Linked DNA regions of Macaca fascicularis. The main gene of each other region encodes a partner of the protein of the gene in region 2 in a complex. Links are inferred from orthologs where the notes say so. Each region holds a gene or a part of one and is shown on either strand. Other genes may lie near its edges. The genes, in order: CDH26 and CTNNA1.

Evidence for each region.
Region 1: CTNNA1 (region 2) and CDH26 share a complex: the UniProt entries of both Homo sapiens proteins name them as parts of the cadherin:catenin adhesion complex. The link is inferred for Macaca fascicularis from reciprocal best matches to the Homo sapiens genes CTNNA1 and CDH26.

Annotation. Positions count from the first base shown.
Region 1 is NC_088384.1:116,045,445-116,049,260, reverse strand, and holds part of CDH26 (cadherin-like protein 26), read right to left. Parts: intron 2,964-3,816; coding exon 2,821-2,963; intron 1,104-2,820; coding exon 864-1,103; intron 1-863. UniProt on the Homo sapiens protein: Cadherins are calcium-dependent cell adhesion proteins. They preferentially interact with themselves in a homophilic manner in connecting cells; cadherins may thus contribute to the sorting of heterogeneous cell types.
Region 2 is NC_088380.1:145,425,494-145,429,309, reverse strand, and holds part of CTNNA1 (catenin alpha-1), read right to left. Parts: intron 3,791-3,816; coding exon 3,639-3,790; intron 1-3,638. UniProt on the Homo sapiens protein: Associates with the cytoplasmic domain of a variety of cadherins. The association of catenins to cadherins produces a complex which is linked to the actin filament network, and which seems to be of primary importance for cadherins cell-adhesion properties.

The DNA.
Region 1 (3,816 bases), on a different chromosome or scaffold from region 2:
TCCTGGGGCTTGGTCAGGCAACCTGGTGGGCCTCCCAGGTGGGTGGCCTCAGTCTCCAACCTCTCTGGTAGTCGACTGACACTATGTGACTAGAAGTCCCCAATCTAAATCACATTGCCCCTGTCTGGCTCAGCTCAAGACACCCAGGTAAAGAGATACCGGTATCAGACATGATATCCCAATAGAGATCACCCAGACCCCAAGGACAAAGACCAGACCTCTCTTTGGGCAAGGTGAAGTTCTTTACCATACACTCCAGGTCTGAGCTGAAACCGTGCCACAGTCTACAGATGCCATGGCTAGAGGCACAGAGGAGAGTGTTGACAGAGGGTGCCAGTTGCTTTTAACCTGCTCAGCAGGTTCATCTTCTGATAACAGTGCCCCAGTGTTTCTTTAGGGAAGCCCACACTTCCCAAATTCTCAGTATGAATCAGGAGAGGCTGAGCCCAGATCCCAACAAGGTCCAGGTGTGGGCTGGGAACCAGTCCATCAGCACGTCTGCCCTCCTAAGTCCCACCTACAGTGATTGACAGGGCAGCTGACCCAGGTCAAACTGTGACATCAATCCTGGAGCTTCCTGGGAAACACCCTTCTTGCCAGATGTTAGGATATGTCTCAGGGACTCCCAGCAGCCTCCTACCCCCTGATGAGGAGAGGTTCCTAAAAGTGAAGGAACCCAGAGAAAAGCAGACCGTGTGTGGGAAGGTGGCTTCCAGGGATATCCTTTGAGCACCTAGAGCCAGCTCTGCCAGAACAGACTTCTCTGGCTTTTTAAGCTAATAAAGTCCTTTTTTGCCTAAAACTGTTTCAATTGGATGTCTGTCATTTTCCACTCTTTGCCCGTGACCAGTACAAAAACTCACCCCAATTTTTCCCCAACTTCCATGTGTCCTCTGCGTTTCGCAGGGTGTTGTCCAATTCAAATGTAAATGGATCAGAGAAGGGCTCCAGGTCCGGATCCTCTGCCTCGATGTGGAGGGGCTGATGCACGGCAGACTCACAGACCTCCATGTAGCGGGAATGTGGCCGGAGAGTCGGGGCGTTGTCATTGATGTCAGACAGGAAGAGCATTAGGGTCCCTGTAGCAGTCTGCGGGGGGAAGCCTTGTACGGGGAGGAAGTTTCAGGAGTTGGTTATCTCGTGCACACAGAGCCCTGGAGAAGGAGCACTCTCCGTCTCTCAGAAAACAAATATTCCTGAAATACTAGAACTGTTTCCCTTTCAAATCATAACTCTCCTGGCATGCATGTGATGATCTATTTTCCTGCTTTTATGAACATTCAGAATATCTGGGTAAGGTAAGCTAATAAAGCACTTACCACCTCAAATCATTTGTAGAACAAGGTAGAATGTGGCATCATTAAACAAACAAAAGGTCGATCAATGGTGCCAGGCGTTAAGGATGGGTGGGGTGGAGGAAAATGGGTGTGACTAAAGAAGGGCCCCATGGGGGTCCCTGAGGAGAGGCAAATGCGCTGCATCTCTGCGTTGATGTCCTGGTTACGAGATTACACTGTAGTCCTGCAAGGTGTTGCCCCTGGGGGAGACTGGCAAAGGATACGCAGGATCCACTAGATTATTTCTTAAAACTGCAAGTGAATCTACAATTATCTAAAAGGACTTTTTCTAATTTAAAAAGTGGCAATCATCAATTCACAACTGCAAATATATGGAGCCAACCTAAGTGCCCATTGACCAATGAGTGGATAAAGACAATGTGGCATATGTATACTATGGAATACTACTCAGCCATAAAAAAGAATGAAATAATGTTTTTTTGCAGCAACTTGGATAGAGCTGGATGCCATTCTTCTAAGTGAATAACTCAGGAATAGAAAACCAAATACTGTATGTTCTCACTTGTAAGTGAGAGCTAAGCGAGTGATATAAGGAACTCTGGAGACTCAGAAGCAGGGGAGGAGGGAGCCAAGGGATAAGAAACCTCACACTGGATACAAAGTACACTACTCAGGTGACGAGTGCACTAAAATCTTAGACTTCACCACTGCATAATTCATCTACGTAACCAAAAACCACTTGTACCCCAAAAGCTTTTGAAATACGAAAAGCAAAAAATAAACAGAAAAAAAAAAGAGTACCCATTATAAAATCATCCATAACAGAATGAGGGAGCCCTGAAACACTGCCCCACTTTTTCTCCTCCCTTAATACTGATTAGGAATCCGTGTTTCCTATCTGCATTGCCCCCCACCCCCAATATTCCGCTAGTTAATTACAGAGTGGAACGTACAGCGACATATCACTTGGAGCTTGGGTTTTAGTTCACAGACTTTCTTAAATACAGTGTTAAAGTTATTTGAACATTTTTATTTCTTCAACTTTGTTTTGGTGTGTTTAAAGATTCAGCCTTAGGAGAGCGTAGAGAAAAGTGCTGAAACATGCTCATAAAACCTCCCATCCTGGTTGATGACAAATGTGTCCCTTACTGTCCCATTTACCTGAGCTCGTACGCCATCCCAAGCACAGGGAAGCTGTGCTAAATATCACACACCATCGGCTTTGACAAAGAGCTAAAGAGTTAGCTCATGAACAAATGAAAAAGATATTGGGTTTGATTGCAGCCTCCTTGCTGATTTAATTGTCTCTTCTGAATGAATACTGCCCTCTTTCGATGGTATTGGTCCCTTGTTTACCATTTCGAGAATTACTACCAAAAATAATCACCAGCATGGATGCAGAGTGATAACAAGGTTTATTTTATCCTTTTCTCAGCTGTGCTGAAAGACTCTCACCAGGATTACTTTCCCGCAGGAAGCAAGAATGAGCATTTTATTTTTCCAATTTTGGGTAAACACTCACCATCATCAACAGCGTGAACGATGATTATATAAAAACTGTCATTGACATGAGGGGATTCTCGGTCAATTGGCTCCACGGTGGTGACCACTCCGGAGTTTTCATCTACGCTGACCCAGTTTGCTGGGTCATGAACCCGTTTATATCTTGTAGAAGGAAAACGGATGGCAATTTTTAAAATTAAAAACTTACATCAAAAGATGTAAAAAGTTACATGAAAAAAACAAAATATGTCATAGAAACACTATTTCTACCACAAGTAATTTGAGAAATTCTAAGAGAAATTAAACTATGAGAGTGTTAAATTCACAAACGGAATGGAGGCGCGGGGAGGACAGCCTAAAGACGCTCCTAAGTCTGTGGAATCGACATTCACCGGAACACCAACTGTCCCCCTCCTTGTTGGACTGAACATGGTTTTGTCTGCCTTAGGGAAATGTTTCATCCTGGAAAGGAACCCATCTTCAGTTGCCTGTAGATGATGGTAGCTTAGTGTGAAAAACCAAACTGCCCTTGCAACAGAAGCCTAGGACTTTACCCCCGGTGTGTTCCCTTTGCAGAAGAGCCCCAGCGGTTCACAGGTGGGTAACCCTGTTCCTCAAAGTGGTCTTCTACATCCCCGTCACCTCTGTGAACCTGACACCGCTTTAAGGGGTGGGCCATGCCAAACCCTCCAGGATTCCTAAGAGCTGTCAGCCATCGTATGGCATCCTTTGCAACCTTACCAGGTTGCCAACCACAGCTACCTGCTGCGGCCCCACAGCAGGAACATCCTGGACTCAGGCAAACAACAACAACAAAAAGTACAGGTCCCAGAAAGGTGTGGAGAGGGGCAGTTTCTCCTTACGCTGTTCCTTCATCCTCTGGGCAAATGCTTTTCAAAGGGTCAGCAAGGATTCCTCTCTCATGTTGGGTGGGTCACAGTTTTTAAAGGGATTGAAGCTTTTTGTGCTCTGCTTCACCTCTTAGGGAAAGTTCCAGAAATTCCTTAGAAGCACT
Region 2 (3,816 bases):
AGCCTCTGCTTCACTGCTGCACGCGCTGGGCTGCCTGGCCCACAGCAGGCCTGCGCTGGCTTCACTGTGTGTGGGGCTCAATGGCTATCACTGAGTCAATTCACTATTTCTTTATAAGACATAAGGTTGTTTTTTTTCCTTTGAGACAGAGTCTCGCTCTGTCACCCAGGCTGGAGTGCAGTGGCGTGATCTTGGAATCAATGCAACCTCCATCTCCCGGGTTCAAGTGATTCACCTGCCTCAGCCTCCGAGTGGCTGGGATTAGAGGCAACACGCCACCACGTCCGGCTAATTTTTGTATTTTTAGTAGAGACGGGATTCCACCATGCTGGCCAGGCTGCTCTTGAACTTCTGACCTCAGGTGATCCACCCCTGCCTTGGGCTCCCAAAATGCTGGGTGGGATTACAGGCGTGAACCACCGTGCCCGGCGACATAAGGTTTTTACTTCCTAATTTACTTCCCCAACACCTGTATTTTAAAGACAAAGATGAGAACTGTCCTGGATAGAAAAGGTACTGACTTAAAAATAGAGGTGTTTTGTATAGTATTAAGCAGATTTGTTTAACTTTCCTACTTTATGACAAAAAGAAAATTAAATAACTGAGCCTTCTGTTAGGGTACCAAGGCTGCTTGGAGGAGTAAAAATAGGCAATTTTAAAGTATTCTTTTGACTTTCATCAAAAGAAAAGAAGGGAGAATATGACAGGTAAGGGCTGAGTAAATACCCAAGGGACTGATTACTCGTCCTAGCTCTTTGCTTTAATTATGAAATAAAATTCTTATTTTGTACCAACTACCAGCCTCTCATGATTAGCTACTGACTTGAAACATAATGTTGTCCTCTGGCAGTTATCAGTAAGGGGGCAGCAGGCAGAACAGCTGGGGTTGGCGCTCGGCCCAGCCGGCTGGCCTGTGACAGGAGGGCAGTGAGGCGAGTCCCTCATCTGTACCAGGATCTAGTCCAAGCGCAGCCCAAGGACTTGCTGTGAGGTTCAAACAAGAAGATATGCAAGAAACATTCCGGAGCCACCAAGAGCGTGCTGCGCAAAGGCTGGGCCTGTCCCTTGATGAGGTAAGGAGTGGATGCTCACTCAGGTGGCACCAGACAGCATGTCCGCGTGAGGTCCTGGAGGCCGACGGACTTGGTGACACAAAACACAATGCCAGCACTGACGGTTTTAACACTGCAGTCACACATGCCTTCGGGACTGGCATGCAATCAGTTAAGGGGCTTTTCAAAGGACCACCTCCTAACATCATCTCTGCCTTCCCAGGACCCCATCGCAGACCCAAGAACCGTTCTTGCCAAGAAAACCGAGTACTCTCATTCATTCATTCATTCATTCATTCTCTCTCTGCCAAGCATTCTGGGCCCTAGAGATACAAAGTGACAGACAGATAAAAATTCCTCTCATGCCTATTCTAATGGAAGAAATGGCAACAAAGTAAGCAAATGAATTATATGACACATCAAAAGTGGCCAGTGTATAAAGAAAGCAGAGAGGAATAAAGCGAGGTTTTAACTCCATGCGGGTGTTAGGAAAAGTCTGATGAGAAGGTGCTCTCGAGGGGTAGGCGGGGCGGGCGGCAGCATTGAGGCTGTGGGGAAGGGGCGTTGGCCCAGGGAACTGCGTGAATAGCAAGGAGGCCACAGAAGGGGGGCTTAGCTCACTGCCCCTATGTCACCGGCTTGCCTGGAACCCCATGAGCACAAGGGGAGATCAGCAGGAGATGAGGTTGGAGAAGTGACAGGTTCTAGTCCTAGAAAGCCTTGTAGGCCAGCATAAAGAATGACGTGGCTGCCTGTAGAGAGGATGGCACAGAGGATAGCATGATCTGACTGAAGCTTAGAGAAATCGCTCTGGCTGCCCTGTGGCTCATGAGACTGTAGGCACCCAGGATTGGAACGGGGAACCAGCTGAGTGGCACCTGCATGAACCCGGGTGAGAGGTGCTGGCGGCTTGGACGAGGGTGAGAACATGTTCAGGTTCTCTACTGTGAAGGGAGAGCCAAAAGAATTCACAGATAAAGCGGATGTGGGGTATGGGACAAAAGGGAAATAAAAGATCCGAGGTCTGCGCATGAGCAAGGGAAGACGGAGTCACTATCAACATGTGCTGCCTGGGTGGAGCAAGTGAGAGGGAGGAGGCAAGGTGCACAGGCAAGTGTGGAACTTAGGAGAGTCGGCCTCTAGACAGGACTCTGAAGAGGCCAAGGACTTCCCAGCAGGCCACACCCATGTTTCACAGGCTGAGGAGATGGGGAGAAACCAGCCAAGGAGACTGAGTAGGGGTGTGGGTCAAGAGATTTTTTCCCCCTTAAAAATGGGAGAAATCATCATAGGCTTGGGGAAAGGTACAGAAGGCAGGGGGTGAAGAAGCTGGGACCCCAGTACAAGGACATGCAAGGGACGGCCTCAGCCAGAAGCACCAACAGCAATGCCCATAGTCCTAGGAGGAAGGCAGAGCACACAGGCATGGATGCAGCGGGGTGGCCGTACTAACTGCCTCAGTATCCTCAATGAAATCGGCAAGAGGGCCAAATAGCACAGGGGCACAGGTGTGGGTGGGTGGACGGGCACCTGTTGCAGGGCAGCAAGGGCCCACAAATGGCCGCGGCTTCTGCGGCTCCGTCGGCGTGGCTGTGGCCATCTGCACTGTGCTCAGGAGAGCAGGATCTTGCTAAGACTGCACCTTGCAAGGCAAGTGTAAGGAAACAGCTGGGCAGAGGAGTGAGAATATTCAACTATGGACTCAAAGCTGAAAAAAGACTGAACCAAGGACACAAGGGGCTGAGTGAGTGTCAAACAGGGAGGACCAACTGACTGAAGACCCCACAGTGGACTCAAAAGGCTCGCTGGGAGTTGCAGGACTCAAGGGCGCAACCTCAACAATAGAACCGGGCTGCTGGGAATGACAAAGACAATGGCAGGCAGTGACAAAAGCTGAGGTACGGCTATGGCCACGAGGCTGAGGTGGAGGAGGACAAGACATCAAGAAACTGAGATGCCCAGGGGCTGGAAGGATAATTCTTGAATGAAGACAGGAATAGTGTCAGAGAGCAGGACGGTAAGCCGGGAGCTCAACCACAGATGCCGCAGAGGCCCGTTTCTCCTCTGCCCTTGCTACAGGCCCTCCAGGCATTCTGGCTATGGGGAAAGGGGTTCAGCACTTGGCCATGAGCCTAGGAGCATCACCTGGGGCCACTTCTCCCCGCAACACCCTGGGGTTCCATCATCCTGTCTGCCTGCAGCCTCTCCGAAGAGAGGGGCACTCCATGTGAACAGTAACTTGAATCTGCATTACGAAAAGACTTCCTTCTCTGATACTAGCTTGAGAACCATTATTTTCTATAATTTCCTGCCTAACTCAAACTGAAGCCTCATGTTGTAGAGACTGTTTATCCTAAATTAAATCGTCAACTCAGGCTAGCTCCTCTTCTTGGCCCAAGTTTGGGCTCTAACTTGCAACTAACAGTCATTTTAGACAACATAATTAAATATATCTCATTCTAACAGATTTTAGATTCATGGTTTTAATATACTGCTACCGCATCTGCCGAGTTCTAGAATGACGCATTGCTCAAGTTTAGCAAATGATAAGAAAGAAGCTGTTAAGTCTGAAATGCAGTTACTCACCCTTATCATCAGCACTGCTTTCCTGATGTCCCGGATACCATCATATACCAGGCGGGAGGCATCGATAAACTCATTCTCATCCATTGGCTGGGCAGGGTCCGAGCTGAGGGCTTCCACGGCCGCCTCTACTTGCTCAGTAAAACGTGGCATGACTGTGGAGAAAGGGGCACAGCAGATG